2 linked regions of the Lytechinus pictus genome follow. The protein of the gene in region 1 binds, or shares a complex with, the protein of each later gene. Links are inferred from orthologs where the notes say so. Each region holds a gene or a part of one and is shown in the gene's direction. Other genes may lie near its edges.

What was found.
Region 2: probable tRNA N6-adenosine threonylcarbamoyltransferase (region 1) and EKC/KEOPS complex subunit TPRKB-like share a complex: the UniProt entries of both Homo sapiens proteins name them as parts of the EKC/KEOPS complex. The link is inferred for Lytechinus pictus from reciprocal best matches to the Homo sapiens genes OSGEP and TPRKB.

What each region holds. Positions count from the first base shown.
Region 1 is NC_087246.1:47,018,357-47,027,769, reverse strand, and holds the start of probable tRNA N6-adenosine threonylcarbamoyltransferase, read left to right. Parts: upstream 1-5,979; 5' UTR 5,980-6,209; exon of another isoform or gene 6,210-6,358; intron 6,359-7,738; 5' UTR 7,739-7,757; coding exon 7,758-7,872; intron 7,873-8,637; coding exon 8,638-8,698; intron 8,699-9,047; coding exon 9,048-9,106; intron 9,107-9,413. UniProt on the Homo sapiens protein: Component of the EKC/KEOPS complex that is required for the formation of a threonylcarbamoyl group on adenosine at position 37 (t(6)A37) in tRNAs that read codons beginning with adenine.
Region 2 is NC_087247.1:45,963,391-45,972,456, forward strand, and holds the start of EKC/KEOPS complex subunit TPRKB-like, read left to right. Parts: upstream 1-5,299; 5' UTR 5,300-5,555; exon of another isoform or gene 5,556-5,573; intron 5,574-7,404; 5' UTR 7,405-7,510; coding exon 7,511-7,681; intron 7,682-8,387; coding exon 8,388-8,561; intron 8,562-9,048; coding exon 9,049-9,066. Other genes in the region: methylglutaconyl-CoA hydratase, mitochondrial-like, read right to left, coding at 5,069-5,222. UniProt on the Homo sapiens protein: Component of the EKC/KEOPS complex that is required for the formation of a threonylcarbamoyl group on adenosine at position 37 (t(6)A37) in tRNAs that read codons beginning with adenine.

The sequences.
Region 1 (9,413 bases):
CAACAAATAATCAGCATAACGAACATTAATACGTGACGGATTCTTTTTGAAGAGGTCAGGTACTAGGTGGTACAAAAACGGCGCAGCTGCTTTCTTTTTCTCGCATGTCAAAGGTCACCTGATTTATACGAAATTATATCATAGAGTATATATACTAAAAATTGACGTAATCTCGTGCAAGAATTTGATGTCTAGGACTATCGTGTACGTTTATTTATTTTTCAACAATTTATTTTTCTTTTAGATACCGCGTTCACAAAACTTGAAAGAGAAAAATGGGCACATGTCATAGATATGCCACGCCCTTATTTCTGAACAAGAGGGGAATTCCCCAGCTGATGGATAAGGGGATGGACGGATTGGTATATATATTTATATAGGTCCATGGTTGTATGAATTGCTTTGTCTTTCCCGGGGTTTTCCCCAATAATCAGTACTACACCATCGGATTATTTTCTTTCTTTATATTACCAGCCTGCATCAAAAGTACAAACCAACATGTTTTTCAATTATAATTATCATTTGAATCAAAACAACTCCCAAAACAATGAAACACAATCAGTGTTGGAAGAAAAGTCCGTCGTTCCAAATCAACTGTATGTACCACACTATTAATTTCAATTAGTTGCATGTGGTTTTAAACATATATAACATATATTTGGGGTTTAATCTCTGAAAGCGGGTCGGATTTTTCGGGAGTCAGGACGACCTAAAAGTGACGTAAGTATTTTCTAGTTTATGGAAGATAAGGATATATACACTCGGGGCCCGAAAAGGGAAGGGAAAAGGAAAAGGAGAAAAAGAGATCAACACTCTAAAAATGAAATGTTAAATCATCATTTGAAAGGTTGGAGGAGCTATCGACAACCTTTCATAAATGTTGCATTTACCACCCAAAACAATTCAAGGTTGGATAATAACATCTGGAAAATGTTGTCACATCACCTCCAACCTTTCAAATGTTTATTTAACATCGAGAGTCAAAGAAAGAGGCCGTGCCCAAACGGCCGTGCATCCCCCTCTGTGAAACTTAGTTAACTTACAATTAAGTCCACCCCAACAAATAGTTGATTTGAATAAAAAGAGAAAAATCCAACAAGCTAAACACTGAAAATTTCATCAAAGTCGGATGTAAAATAAGAAAGTTATGACAGTTTAAAGTTTCGCGTAATTTCACAAAAAAGTTATATCCTGGTCGGTATGCAAGTGAAGAGACTGCTGACGTCATCCACTCACTATTTCTTATGTACTTTAATATATGAAATATGAAATATTCTAATTTTCTCCTCATTGTCAAGTGAAACAACTATCAATTCCTCCCTGAACATGTGGAACTAGCTTTATGCTATATGGTTCAGTCAAGTTGATCCTTATTGTCAAATCTGTACAAAAGTGAATTTTGTATTGAATTTTGTATGATTTACACAATAAAAAACAAAAGAAATAGTGAGTGAGGGACATCATGAACTATCTCATTTACATGTCACTGAGTTGTGCATATCACTGTTTTGTGAAAAATAAGCAAAACTTTAAAATATCATAACTTTCTTATTGGACATCCGATTTTGATGAACTTTTCAGCGTTATGCTAGTTTGATTTTTCTCTATTTATTCAAATCAACATTTTTCTGGGGTGGACTTGACCTTTAAACATAAAAATCTTGTAGGGACAAAACGACCACGTCGTGACGCCGAATGGGTAATTACCCTTCCGGTAAATTAGGGAGCATATTTGATTTGATTTGATTTGATTTATTTTTTTTCACATTCCAATAACAAAAAGTATACAAGTGTAATCATTTTTTCTCAGCATAACATAACAATAAGCAAATGACATAATGAATAAAATATACATACTTATTCTAACGATCTAATTAAAATATAATATTACCTAAGATTTTTTTCTAATCATTAAGACAAATAGCAGAAAAATATATATTATATCGACATAATACATTTTGAAATGTGGGAGACCTCCATCATAAGCTTAGAGCTTGAAATTGACGGAGGCCTCAGAGTGTACAACAAAACAAATGGTCCGATTTATATTACATTTGAATGGAAATGAAATGAATTGAATTGAAAAAAGCAAAGAGAAAAAGAAAATATCAAGAGAAAGAGCATAAAAAAGAAAGAAAGAAAGAAATAATAGGAGGAAGAAAAGAAAACAGAACGAGAGAAAAACAAAGAAAGAGTGTGCAACGAATAGATATCAGTGCCTATACTTATTACACATATTACACATTACACACTTATGGCACATTAATAGATTAAAGGGATGCTCCATGCTGTATATGATTTGAACATACAAAAAAAATCAGACAAACAAAACAGTGAAAATTTGATCAAAATCAGAAAAGAATAACAAAGCTATATGCGGGGCTATATGGCATTTTAAAGATTTGCATTATTCCGGTGAAACAGTTCTATAGGCATGTCTTCAAGAACATCCAATGAGCAAACTGAGTGATGATGTCATAACCCCATAGGCGGATTCAGGGGGGCCCGAGGGGCCCGCCCCCCCCCCCCCCCCCCCCATTGGCGGAGCAAAAAAATAAAAAAGGGGGAAGAAATAAAAAAATTAAAAAAAAGGGAAAAGAGAGGAGAAAAAGAAGAAGGGGAAACATAAAAGGAGGAAGACGAGTGAATAAAATAAGATGAGGGGAAGACTTGGGAAATAATTTTGAAAATATTTCATGTCACTATACAGTATAAAATTTTCGCTCGCGCTTCGCGCTCGCATTGACTTTTAGGTAATTTAAATATCTTGCTTCATGCGGAGCTTAAGTATCAAAATTTGAAATCAATATAAATATTTCAGCTCGGAAATCGAACTTTCATTATTTTGTTTGATTTAAAAATTTATTTTTTAAAAGTGCTCTGTAAAGAGTTATGGTTTGTCTTCTGAATATTTACATTTTCTAAATTTGATTTGTCAGGTACCAATTATTTTCCTGTATTCCATAAAGTTCTCTAATATCCCTATTTATGTCAAAATGTCAAAACGTAACAGCTAGCACTGCACGCTCGCATTTTGATTGGTGATTTGATATGTATATTTCAATATTAATTCTAAAATAAGCTACTTAAAATCCCCATTTCATGACAGTTTATCAAATATTTCGGCTCGAAATTTGCGCTCGCATTGATTGTTGAAAATATTTAAACTCATGCATCTTATTCATAATTACAAAAGTGCTTTAAATGTCCAGTTTACAGGCCATAATGAATTAACAGATTTCTCGCTCCCATTAGGCTTATTAGATTAATAAATAAGATATTAATTCAATAATCAAATTGACCCTTTTTAGAATGGAATATCGACAAGTTTCATCTCCCGCTGAGGAAAAGAAATAGGAAGATAGTCATCATTTTCATATGATGACATAATGTTCTGAGAATGGCCCTTTCCTATGTCAAAACTCAAAGTAATTTTTTTTTCAACTATGATTCATATCCACCTCACAATTTTCCTACAAAGTACTTGAAATACAGAGCTTAAATTGACCTTTTTTCAGATCGGAATATCAAACATTTTAAGCTCGCGCTTCGCGCTCGCTTTATTGATTTTCATGATGAAAAAAGGTATTTAGAATGCCCAGATTCTAGCTCAAAATCTGAATGACGCGCACGCATGTTTATTCAGATACGCAGCTTGTTCTCTATTTAAATCATTATGAGCCTATATAGCCAGTTTCAGATCAGAATATAAAAAAAAATTTGCTCACGCTTTGCGCTCGCATTATTAATGTAGGAAGATACCAAATTATACCCAATTTTTTAATGATTTACAAAACATGAAGAGAGTGTCCCGTTTTTAGGTTTGAAATCTCATTTTTTTGCTGCTCGCGCTGTGCGCGCTCGCATCAATTGTTTGGTATACTGTTCATGATTACAAAAAGTGCATAGAACGTTAATTTTTTAGGACGGAACGTCAAATAATTGTCAGCTCGCGCTTCGCGCTTTCATTATTTAATCATTGAAATATGTATCGTCTTAATGGCTAACTGCAAAACGTTCTTAACAGGTCCCTATTCGACAAGACCAGAACGCATTATAAAAATTTCTGCTCTCGCTTCGCGCTCGCAGTAATTATCTAGTTACATACTCATCTTGTTCAGGTTCACAAACATTGCCCAGAATGTTCAATTTTCAGGACAAAATACATGCAATTTCAAAACTGTTTAGCTCGCACGTCGCGCTCACACTATTTAAATAGGGCTTATATGAAATTATTACACATTTATGTTGTTTGTAAGAATAAAGCAGTGACATTTTTGCTAGGACATGGGCGTTTATGTCCCCCCCCCCCAAAAAAAAAAAAAAAAAAAAAAAATCACGACCAAGAAAAAAGGAAAGGGATAAGGGTGAAATATAATATTATTTTTCAAGTATTATGTCAAAATCTATCACAAACTTGGATTTTTGTAATAAATATGTCAAAATTTTTGCTCGCTCGCTTCGCTCGCTCGTAATTTCTTATTAATGTTACGCGAAACGCCATATCAAGCCCCCTCAATTGTTTTTGGCTCATTACGCCACTGGGACAACCCCTTCAAAGAAACAACCAAAAATCAACTTTGAGCAGCCGACCGGGGAAAATATGGGTGAAAATTTTTTCGGGCCCCCCCTATTGGCGGAGGCTGGATCCGCCCCTGTAACCCTACTTGTTCTTTTGTATTTTATTATATAAAATTAAGTTTATTCAAATATTTTCTACCTAGAACTAAAAAAAAATGGATTGATAACTGATTAAGTGCATTCATTACAAGGGAGACATATCATTTACACATGTATGAAAAATGACCCAATTATGATTTCACGTAATAACATACGAAAAAGAAAAGTGGGGATGCGACATCATAATAAGCCTAATATACCAGATTAATATTCATTACGAAGTGAATGTAACTGTTTTCACAGAATATTGCTTAACTTTAGTTAAAATTCAATAACTTTGTTATTTGTTATCCGATTTAGATGAAATTTTCAGCATTTTACTCAATCTGTGAATTTTACTCTATTTATACAGATATAAACATTTTCAACCCGGAGTAGCCCTTTAAAGGGGAAGTTCACCCTGATAAAAAGTCTATTGTCAAAATAGCAGAAAAATAATTTAAAATATTGCCGAAGGAAATATTGAATGAAATACAATACAGCCTGCATGAGGGGTCCCAAAGTACCTGTAGTACAATCATGACAATGATAAGTATAAGATGAATGTTTGTTGAGGAAAACAAATTGTTTCTTTCAGAGAGGCCTATTCCTGAAACTTTTACCATAGTGTCAAATAATTGGGAAACAAAAAAAAACTGATATACACAAACCATGTGAGATGATTTTGTCAATAGCATGAAATATCAGAACGTATGAACTGTACTAAGTTTTTCCCTAAAGCAAAAAAAAGTTAGAAAGCCATTATCTGCTAAGAAGGTATAATTGTCGCATATTTGATTTTATCCACAATTTTGAAAACAGGGAGATTACTTGTTTGATAATTATCAATATTTTAGTTTGTCCCTCATTTTTTGACAGAGGGATACTTTTAAAAATTGAATTATTCTAGGGATCCATGTACTAAATTATACAAATTAGAAATGGGGCTAAAAGTATTGAATTTGGATTTGCTGGGCCAATTTAAAATTCGAAAAAATAGTTCGAGGAGCTTTAACATGGTCAATTCCAATGAACGCTAGATGGGCCTAAATAAGGTTTGTTGTCAAAAGGACCAAAATTGAGGGGGGGGGGGAATCCGTTAATTTTTTTTTCATAAAATGCAGCTAAAGCAAGTAGAGGCTTGCTTTCGCCAAAAGGATATAGGCCTAGTAAAAATGTTTCTAAGATTTATCATGCTCTAGGAACAGAAGGCCACTTTCTCATCATAATATAATGCTTTCGCATATTTTGTTTGCCCTTTATAGGATTCCATATCAGAACAAAACATTTAATTAACCTTGCATATGATTGGCTAAGCCTAAGGGCAAAATGGTCCTTGAAAATTACTGACAAACGTTCATGATCCGTTCACATCTTCAGTCTTCATACTGAATTAATTATCCACCGATTCTTTTCTTTTCTTTGTTTTTGTATTTTTTTATTGGACGCTTCGGCGACACTGTGAGTGTGTTTTCTACCTTTCCCTGCATGCTGCTGTACCGGTACCTGTTCTAGTTCTACCGAAAATTTTGTTAATTTTCCGTGACATAGTGAGTGAGTAGGCAATGAAAACATCTGGAATGCATGATTTGAAGCCATTTATTAAAAATATGGGCTAAATATGGAAATTTTATTCATTTTCATCAAATTTTGCCAGCCTTTATCTTTATGCCGACTTCAATTTGAATATTTGTAAAAAGTTAGTAGTTTTTACCTCAGCTCAGGCTCAGTCCCACATCATTCAGATGATGTCAGTGAGAGAGAACTAACGAGTAACGTAATAATAGACACACTAATTTATTGATTAGAGTCAAGACAAGAAGAATAGGACATTTCGACTCGAATCATTTGGAAGGTGTTTTTAGGATTGCTTTGAGGTGCTGCTGGCAATATTATGATTTAATTATAGCATGGACCTAGTCCTAGTGGTCCAGGACCATGATGATAGGGAAGAAAAGGGAAATAAAATGGAGGAAAAGTCGTGAACAAAAGTTACAAAACTCATTTAACACTAAACTAAAGTAACAGTCGTGATGAATGCACGATCGATTGTTCAATTGTTTTGATATTTAGGGCTAGGTGCAAAATTATTTTAAATCTACCTGACAGAATGAATTCCTGGAAGAAATAATCCATGTAGGCCCCTATCTCTCCGATCTCCTTTGAAGTTGGAAAAGGAAAAATGGAGTAAACTGAACATCAAAATCACAACTTACTGCCTGATCTTCGGAATGAGCATGATCAGTTAAATTCAAGTTCAGTTGCCACAAGATAATAGATGATTGTGGGCATTTCGGCATTAATGGAAAGACGAGACAAGGAATATAATTCATTCATCTTTCCATCCCTAAACTCAGAAAGGAGTGAAAGTCGTCACATTCACAGATTAAATCTTTCGGTTTAAAAATATCTATTGTATTCCTGTCTGTGTATTGTTTTGTTTTTACCCCGAATCATAATCCACTCATCCACTTGCACTAATGAGTATTGTCGTTGGATGCATTTATCGCAGTTGACATAATTTGCTATGCCTATGTGCGCTTGACCACCAATTTTGAAGTTTTCCTTTCAATTACATATATCGCCAAGTCGATTTTTTGTTTTAGTCTAATTTAAAAGCATTTGCCATTGGCGTTGCTGTTTGGAACATGTGATCACAAAAACACTGTACTAGACACTTTGCCAAATTTGTGTAGAGCTGTCAACTTTATTGCTTGAATCCATTTATCATAGTCCTTAACCCATAATGGATCTTAACTTCTATGACACATGCTGATATCGATGATCAAGTATAAATATGCAATACAGCTTAACTGTCTATTGACCTTTTTTTTTTAATACTGGACCTCTGTTCAAAGTTTGATATATAGTCAATCTTTTATTTTTTCTCTTATTATTTTATCTGTTATTGAGAATTGAGATTTACACAGAGGCTTAACGAGTGATTTATGAATTAGACTTAATTTTCTTTCTTGCAGTCAAATAGCATTGCTATCTGAAGGTTACAAGAATTCAATTAGACAACATGATATATAAATAATTAGTGGTTTTCTTTGCCTTCTTTTTCAATCTATTTCAGATTAGTATAATATCCGACAATGCCTACTGTGATAGGTTTTGAAGGCAGTGCTAACAAGCTTGGTATAGGAATCGTCAAAGATGGAGAAGTCTTATCTAATCCCAGACACACCTATATCACTCCACCTGGTGAAGGTAAACAAACCTCTTTATTCAGTGATATGCTTTAACTTGCAATCAATTGCCAGTCTATTTTCATTCCCTAAGTCAGTCATAGGTCTTGAAATTAATTGCGAATTTGCAATTGATTGGTAATCTGCTTTTCTTGAAACAAGGAGTGTAATCTGATTTGCTACAGTTAAAATTGATCTGTCAGTTTTAGAATTGCAAAAGAATATTTGCAATTGATTGCAAATATTTTCTTGCAACACCCCACTAAGACATTTCTTATGGATGATTGCTTACAATGTATGTGTGTGTGTGGGTGTGCTTAGCCACATTGCCAACCGAGGATGCACACACAAATTTCACATTTTAAAACAAGTACACAAATCAAACCAAGGATGTCCTCAGATCACTAACCAATGTTACAGGTCCCAAATCACAAACCTTTTTCATAAAGCCCTTGATTTTTGCAACGATAAAAGATTTCCTTGGTGATATCATTAAATTTCATATAGTATGATCAAAATTTCAGCAGATTTCTGCTGACCGAAAAGTTATTGTTTTAACGATTTAAGTACACAAAGAAATGAATGCCTGTGGATATTACAAAAAGAAGTTGAGTTTCTGTAAAATGTAAAAGCTCTCCTTATTTAGCTGGTAAAAAAAACAAAATAAATTCTACATTATGAACCAGTAAAACAATAAGATATACAGTACTATATTTTATAACATGAAATTATGTTCATAATTACTAATGAATTTACACTCTCATTTTTATTTCCATTTTCTTTTCAGGTTTCCAACCTCGAGATACTGCCAGGCACCATCAACAGCATATCATGTCTATTTTGAGAAGGTAATTATCACTTATTGGGGTATTCAAAAAAGGAATAAAAATATTTGTGACAGACAAAATTTGATTGCCTCTGTATTTATTATTATCAATTCTGTCTTCATATATTAGCAAACTCCATGACCATGAGTAAATGTTCAAATTCCTTTTAAGATGAAAGAGTAAAAGCATTTTGCACCCCTGTATGTCCCCCATTTTTTTGGTTTATTTTTTTAGGAAAAAAATAATAAAATCTGTATGTAAGTTTGTGAATATCACCTAGAATTAAAGTGAGCAAAAATTTTCATTCTAAGAAGAAATTATTGATTGTTGAATTGTCATTATATTTTCTGTTATTTTTATTTTATTTTAGGGCTTTAGACGAAGCTAAACTAACCCCAAAGGATATTGATTGTGTCTGTTATACAAAAGGTAAGCATTTATTTGCTCATTTATGTAATAATAATAATAATATTCCGCATTTATAGAGCGCTTAACACATCAGAACGACGTCTCTAAGCGCTTTACAGATAATTACCTCGGTCATCGGATCCTTGCATGCTTGCATACAATGTATGCACCTTCTCCACTCCCTTGGGAGCATTCCAGCAAGAGTTCCAAGACTCAATTGCTAGGCATACTATATAGGCTTTCGAATCCTACCGGATACCCATTTAACACCTGGGTGGAGAGTGGCAAATTGTGGATTGACGCCTTGCCAAAGGACACTAGGCCATGG
Region 2 (9,066 bases), on another chromosome or scaffold:
TCTTTTAAAGTATCTCTAAAGCATGTGGAACAGAAATGAAAATGATTACATTGAAAGTATCTGTTAAGAAGAAGAGAAAATAGAGAAAACTAATTTTTTTCATAAAAGTTAATTTAAATCAGTGATTTTTTTGAAAAAAAATCAAGTGATTTAAATCGCGATTTAAATCATGATTTAAATCGACATGATTTAAATCAAACAACCCTGGTTTAAAGGTCAAGTCCACCCAAGAAAAATGCTGATTTGAATAAATAGAGAAAAATCAAACGAGCAAAACACTGAAAATTTCATCGAAATCGGATGTAAAATAAGAAAGTTATGACATTTTAAAGTTTTGCTTATTTTTCACAAACCAGTGATATGCACAACTCAAATGAGACAGTCGATGATGTCCCTCACTCACTATTTCTTTTGTTTTTTATTGTTTGAATTATATATTTCATTTTTTATAGATTTGACAATAAGGACCAGCTTGACTGAATCATATAGTATAAAACAATGCTCATTCCACATGTTCAGGGAGGAATTAATCTTTGTTTCACTTGACAATGAGGAGAAAAATAGAATATTCCGTATTTCATATGATAAAATATAAAAGAAATAGTGAGTGGATGACGTCATCAGTCTCATTTGCATACCCACCAGGATGTGCATATAACTGTTTTGTGAAATTAAGCAAAACTTTAAAATGTCATAACTTTCTTATTTTACATCCGATTTTGATGAAATTTTCAGTGTTATGCTAATTGGATTTTTCTCTTTTTATTCAAATCAACTTTTTGTTTGGGTGGACTTGTCCTTTAAAGACCAAGAAGACAAAATGGGTATAGCCTACCTAGAGGTTTGAAATTAGAAAAAAAAAATTATTGGTCATACAGGCCAAATGGAAAGTAGAAAAAATATTCTTCAATTTTCCCAAAAAAATTTAATACTTTCTTAGTATAAGGGTTTGGCAAATATCCGAGGGGGGGGGGCGTACTTAGTATAAATGTATATCTATGTGCTACGATTGAAACCCCCATTTTCAGCCTAAATTTCTGGTCTAGAGCATCAATTCAGAAAGCCACAGATATTCCTATTTTTTCCCGCTCCGGAGACCCTCAAATTTGTGATTTCTCATTTCAATGCACGCCCTTCATGAAATCTATTGAGCCTGTCGGAGCGGCAAGCTCGATCGGTGCAGAGCCATAGCGGCGGGCTCCCGAAGCTCCCCGCACGCCCGCAGCTAGCTTGTTCTAGCCCGACATGAATCTAGCAAGACGCTCGCACATTTTTTTACATAGACGTTATCAATTACACCTACGATCAAAAGAATTCTGGAGACCCCCCCTTCTTTATGTTATGTGGTCAGTTCCAGAGAATTGCATTTTTAGCAATCGTTGATCCAAGAGCCGTTCAGGAGACCCCCGTTTTTAGACCAAGATTTAGTTCCAAAGCCCCATATTTTCGACTTTGGCGCAGCACATAGGTATTATGTTATAATTCAAGTAAAAAAAATTGTGACAACAATTAGCGATGAGAGAAAATATAACCTGGAAGTCGGATCTTGTGAATATTATAAGGTGCTCAAGTATTTTTATTCATATTTTTTCAGGAATATATATTCTAGATAGATCTATACAAGCAACAAGATGATCTCTGACTCTGTAATAAAATGGATTATTGTTAATATGGACCTCAAAGTATACGATCATAAGTTATATACAATGATTTTTAATGAGGTAATACTAAGTTTCGCGATAAGTCATTTTTATTTTAAAAAAAAAGTGTTTCTAGAAATGAAAACTGATAGAATACTTCTAGTTCTTACGAATTTAACATGGCGATAGATAGATTTAATCTAGATAGATCTAACAAGTTAGTATTCGAGATGTAGACCCGGGGGGGGGGGGGGGGGGTGGAGGCCACTTCCATTGTAGAGTGGATATATATACCAGGCACGACCAAAGAAGTGCATCAAAAGGATCTCTTTTTCAAGACTGGGCACGTTACGTACGTAATAAGGGTGTCAAAAACACTAAAATACTGAAAAAAGGGTATATACTTCGCTAGGAAAGCTACATGTTTACGGTCAAATTTGGGAGGGAATTTATATATGTAGGCCGGCCTACTTTTCGCCCCAACACTTTGTCGTGTCCGATTTGAGCGAGGTGGAGCGGTACCAAACCCAATATAACTTATGTAAATAAAGGAAAATGCTGACGTCTGTGACATAACAATTTAAATATCGCTGTAGACCTAAATCTACTTGTTGAGGTGTACACTTTAGGGATCAAGGGTAACTTTTTTTTCTAATACAAGCCTAATAATTAAGTGCATTTTCAAATTAATTACTCATTTAAGGCGGTGCTGCACCATCCCGAGTTTGCTCAATCTCGAGATTTTAGCCCGATCGGCCCTCTTCGCGATTAATCTCGAGATTCAAGAAACCCCGTCTCCACCATCGCAAGAAGAGCGATTCCTGCTCGAGCGAGGCAACAAGCCCAATATTCCGAGCATGCGCACTTTCGGATCTTGGAGTTTCAACGGCCCGCGCTTTTGAATAACTTCCCGCGATATGCAATCAAATACATGTAGGCTACTCCTTTCTCTAGCACTTTCGCCGAATTCGACAAGTGTTATGCAACAATCCTCTCAGCTCCGTCAGCCGCGCTCAGCGAGTGAAGAAGTGATGTATTCTTCGTTTAATATGATGGCGGAGAAGGAGGCAACGACAGAGAGAGAGAGGGAGAGAGAAAAGGAGGAGGAAAGAATGCTATTTGCTCACATTTTGCAAAGGCCATTAAGACGACACTGCTGTCAGTGTTGTTATCGACTATGAACATCGTCGATAAATGAGCGCCTCCCCCATATCCATAGGTCTGGTCTCTCCCAAAATCCATTCACTGTTGGGACACCATCGTTGCTGATTGGGGAATTGATGAACGCTATTCGCGATAATGTCTATTCGCGTGTATAAAATAGACTTTCGCACGTGTTTTTGTTTTGACCAAGGCGGAAGTGGAACGCGAATTGCATTATGGACTGACGTCATGAATAAATTACCCCGAGTCCAATCTCGAGTGCGTCTGCACCTTCGAATTAGCGGGATAATTCGTAAAATAGCGCGCTATTTTGCAAATAAACCCGAGTTGACTTGGGATTGCAATCTCGAGATTAATCCTACGAACTAGCGCGATAATTGCGTCTCCACTGCAAACAATCTCGAGATTTTTCAGATCGGGATAATTTGCCGGATCAGAAATAGCGCGCTAATTTGAAAACTCGGGATGGTGCAGACGGCCCTTTAGAGTACTTTTCGAAACCCCATGGTCGTGCCTGATATCCACTTGTCAATGGAAGTGCCCCCCCCCGCACGTAGACCCTAATTAAAGTTAGATTCTTTGATTAATTTTGGTCACTTGGACCAACTTTAGGCGTGCTGTATTATTGCCAGATTTTTAAAATAATTTTTGTTAAAAATCTAACTTGAAAATTCCAGGAAATGTCTATGAATTTCAGGAAATTTGGGATTTAGTTTCGGGAAATTTGTTTTAACTGTTGTTAGATCTGTGGTCTGGAAACACTGTCCTACTACCACCCAAGGGTTCATTACATGCCGCCGCGCACAGAAAAATCAAGCCATAGAAGTCGTGTGTTGTCAGTAGAGGCGCACGGCCAATATTGGAGACTGTCTCCAATGTGGGAGATATCTCCAATATCAGAGACTTTTGTAAAGAATTTGGGTATCCAATTTCAGAGACAGTCTCCAGTTTTGGAGACCAATTTCCTTTGTTTACATTTGCTGCAAAAGGATTACCTTGGCGGCAAATAAAAATGTGATAAGCAGATTCCTCATGAAAAATTACCCCTTTTCACCGTCTCCTTTAAAAATTCACCGTCTACTTTTGTTTTGATAAGGATTTTTGTTGTCAATCACACACAAAACAAATGGGCTTCTGACCTCAGTGAGACAAAATTTTGGGTGGAAAAAATCATGCTTTTGTTGGTGTTGTTTCTTTTGTCCTTTTGCAAAGCAAGTCTCCAATGTGGGAGATTGTCTCCCCTATTGGAGAGAGTCTCCCATATTGGCCGTGCGCCTCTACTGGTTGTGGACCCTAGAAGTGAGATCCCAGCACACGCGACCCACTAGTTAGAAATCCACTGCCAAACGCGGTTCGTGGTGCGAGGTTAGTATACTAATACTAACCTCGCAATACGTGCGAGTGTCCTACTACTAACGTTAGTACTACTATAGCTCTGTAAAGAGGACTGTACTCAACGGAAGAAGAAGTTAGTGTCCATACCAGAGGTCACAGTAAACAATTGTTCATACCAAGGACAAAGACCCAGAAATATAGGAATTCTTTTTATGTTAGAATACGTAAGACATGGAATAGCCTAAATAATGAAGTTGTCACTGCCCCAAGTGTGCACAGTTTTGAAGCTGCCCTGCCCTGGAAAAATGAGCCAATAAAATATGACTACGAAAGCCTTGTTCCCGGAAGTGAGCCAGCCATCTTGAGGAGGAAAAACCTAGAACTGAATACAGAGGCATAACATGCCTACATTCAGAAACTTCCCTAGGCCTAGGTATCCCTTCTAATACTAATAGGTTAACATGAACCGGTACATACAGTATACTACAGTCAGATGTGATCGCTCCCCCTCATCTCAGACAGTAGTAGTACTACTACTAGTAGTAGTAGACTGTAATTTTAGATTCAGAATACGAATTTGGTCAATTAGCATGATTAGCGCTCCATTATTTGGGAGGACTTACGAGGAAAGTTATGAATACCCCCCCCCCCCCCGCCCTGTATGCCACTGCACTGCATTGCATTGCATTCACCCATATATGACCATGGCCATGCCCCACCCACACTCCAGTCACAATCGACTCCATCATTCACAAGCCGGCTAGTCACACACAAAGTCCGAACCCGGCGCGTGAGCGACGGCTATGATTCGGGGCCCAGGCCAGCCGGCCGGCCGGGTACGGTGGAAAGGTCGGCCAGCCGGTAGCATGGTTACAATACAGTCGGCAGCAGCAGACACGCCACTAGCCTCACTTAATAGTAAAACACACCTCCATCATCCAAATAGCTGACTTTGAGATCATCTGCAGGAGAGCTAAATGTTCGAGCTACAGGTACCAACAGCTGCCTGGTAGTCAAAATCTTAGAATTTATACCAGTGAACACACCGGCGTAGCGGATCAGTTTTGTCAGGTGAGAAGCCATTTTTCTTTAAAGCACGCATGCAGCTTGTGCACGTGTGTACCGGTAGGTGCTGGTGGTGCTGCCCGCTCGTTCCCGATGCAAATGCGATCGACAACGGCGGCCAGGCCGCGCCGGCAAGCTAGCTAAGCTACCGCTCGGCTATACTAAATAGCTTAATAATATTTAAGCATTTGGTATAGACTATAGGCTAGATATGGCTATCTGAAGCCGGGCGGGAGTTCCCCGTATTTCTGTGTTAATGTTGTTGTTGTTAACATCAATCTTGAAAAAGGAAGTTCATCTTGACATTGAAAATCATGACCATGAATGCATGATGACAATGTCAATGAGTTTGTACCGGTAGTAGAGTAGAACTAAAAACAGAAAATTGGTGAAGGTTCATCATAACAGACTAATACAAATTTTTAAAAATGTTTGTGACATGACATCGACATCGTAGGCTTAAGATTAGGAACATGTTGTAACACATATGTCATCTAAGTTAGATTCTAAGTTAGATAAGTCATTAAGTGATTCTCAAGTTTATGTTACATCACAAAATCTATGTAGGATGTGTATACATGAAATAAAACTGGTCACCATTTCATGCAATTTCATAATTCATTTTTTTTATGATGTTCATGCGTATCGGTACATTTTATATAATTTATCTCCTCTCCTCTCCTCTCCTCTCCTCTCCTCTCCTCTCCTCTCCTCTCCTCTCCTCTCCTCTCCTCTCCTCTCCTCTCCTCTCCTCTCCTCTCCCCTCCCCTCCCCTCCCCTCCCCTCCCCTCCCCTCCCCTCCCCTCCCCTCCCCTCCCCTCCCCTCCCCTCCCCTCCCCTCCCCTCCCCTCCCCTCCCCTCCCCTCCCCTCCCCTCCCCTCCCCTCCCCTCCCCTCCCCTCCCCTCCCCTCCCCTCCCCTCCCCTCCCCTCCCCTCCCCTCCCCTCCCCTCCCCTCCCCTCGACTTTTGCTAAGATGAGGGTTTGACCAAATTGTTTGACCCATTGACAATGAGCTGTAACATCCTAATAACCTCCTCATGTACGTAGATCCCCTCTGTTCTGTTTGTACAACCCTCGTCAGCAGGGAAAGGGGTGTTAGAGTTTGATCCCCTCCCCTTTTTAGGCAGCCCAAGAGGGTAGGCTAAAATCCCCTACACCCCCCCTACATTGTAGATCACCATTGTAAATAGCTGAATCAATCTGGCCAGAGTGTCGGGGTGGAAATTGAGAGTGACTTGTTTAATTTGGATTAAAATGTCTGTAAAGCTATGCATAAGAAAGTAATATGAAAAAGTAAAATGGTGAACTTATCTGCAAATATTTCCAAATTTTAGTAAAATATGATTGTATTGAATTTTATTACATGATTAGAAAATTTGAAATAAGATATAATAGCATGTAAACAAAATACTTTTAACACTTGGGTCAATGGTCTCTGAAAGCAAGATGATTCATACATGTAGTTGGGCATGATAATTTTTTAAATATATACAAATAGTATGAAGTATATGTATGATTAGAATTCTATAATGAAGTATACATGTAAGTCAAAGAGGATTGCATTTCCTAGGTGAACATCACACATTGGAGTTCAAGACGAAAATTCCACTCAGTCCAAAGCCGATCTCTATTTAAAACCTGTACCAGTGATTAGAACCAATCTTTGTCAAGTGTGATGGCAGTGTATACACCTATCTCCATCCACAACCCATCTCTCCCTAGGGAGGGATTATTTAGATCAGTGATGAGGATGGCCTTGAGTGGGATGTGTAGAAATATTGTTCTTCAGCAAGTAACAATATTTCTATGCATCCCACGGAAATTGGTCATCCAATATTATAATTATTTAGATACCCCAACAAAGCTAAGCATAAATTAATGAAGCAAAAAAAAAAGTTGTTACTCAGCATTTGATGTCAATCCTGTAAATCATGAGCATGGCGACTGTAAAGAGTATTGTCATTTTCTTAAAAGAAATATGTGTAAAGATGCGCTAGCGTATAGTGCAAGTGCATTTGAATTAAATAAATTGACGCAATCTTGCTCCTTTGCCACACCTGGCAACTAATGCGCAATGCAATATCATTGTGACGTAACAATAGCTTTATGCGCACAATCGGTTATTAACCAATGATAATCTCGTAGGCGGGGCAAAATATTCATTCATCCAATATGGAAAATATTGAATGGTTTTCATAGGCATACACGTTAAAAATCAGTTTTAAAATATTTTGTCTCTTTGAAACAACATCGCAAGACGTCAAAAAATATCTGTGCCTCTAAAACCCTGCATCTAAATAATGATATGAAATATATGTACATTCATAAAGTGTATTTTTCTCCCTTGATGCAGCTGGTCAGCCCATTTCAGATAATGGTAGCAGTGAATAAGGCACTCCATGCACATGCCACTGGCCATGCAAAAACCAGGACTGTTAATTCTGAAATCATCTATAGCCTGTCTCCATCCACAAATGTAAGCTTTTGGGTTTTTTTTCTTTCAAAGAATGATTTCAACTTTAATTTGCTCTATTTCACTTATTTAAAATTGTTTACTAGTATTGCTTATAATTATATATTTATTTAAGTAATTAATTTATTTACTAAGTTATTTATTCCATCTATTCATTATTTATCAATTATTTATTATTATGAAAAAATATTGTAGAAGAGAACATATTTAGTTATGTTTTTATTTTTTTTATTTTCTTCCTTTTATGGGGCTTCTAACTGGATATTGGCGTATATATATAATAGGCTTTTCTAATGGGTTAGTAAACTACACCAATAATGCTAAATTTGTTTGAAAGTAATATGGTATACACATTAATACAAAATAACGTAGTTGATTAATTTGTTTGCATACTTTGCTTTGTTGATAGGCATATTTCTTACAAAGGATATAGAATTAAAATGTCATTCAGGAATCTATCTTTCAAGAATTTTGCAATGGGGACATATCAGTGCTAGGTTTTGCTCCTAATGAATCATCAATAGCAAAAGGTGATAGTACATAATCATGTAAGTTAGTGCCTACATTATTTAAAACTTGGACAGTATTTACTGCTATGTAAGAAGCAGAATATTCTTGAATATTCTTATACATATCGCTTAAGTATTTGCAAATAAGATCTACTGTCATATCATTCAAGTATATTTATTGATCTCTTAATTGTTTACAGATCAGTGAATCCTTCAAGGTTTTTGCAATGGGATCAACTGACACATCAGTGGCAGTGGTTGTTTTAAATGATCCTGATCAAACCAACCTGAAGTCAATTGCTGCAAAGATTGAAGGAGTTTGTGTTCCTCTATCTCAACTCTCCATGCATACAGATGAAATCATGATCAAGAAGGTATTTGCACATAAAAACATTCCTTTGTGATATTCATTGACCTGAAGAAGACAAATCTGTGTAATTGCCCAGAATCCTCCAGTTTGCCCCCCCCAAAAAAAAAAAAAACACACATGAAAAATTGAACTCGGGGCTTAATTCTGAAAATAATCACAGGGAGATCAAGGATTTAATATTTGGGGGAATCGGAGAGGGGGCACAGATTATTATCCCAAATTGCCTGTCTCCCAATTTGTTTTGCAGTTGAACAGTGTAATTCATGAAGACAATAGCTTCAAAAGGTGCTGAACAGTTACATCCCTACCAACACTATACATGTATGTACTGTCTGTCAGAGAAAAAGAATATATTTTACTTAAACATAGTATTATTAATTATTAATTGTATTTTGCTTATTAAAAGCAGGGTGAGAAAATCAAACTTCATGATGTTGGATGGAAAATAATTCAAACAATTCAAACATTCTATTTTATCCCAATATTTACAGAAATACTCCATCAGTAAA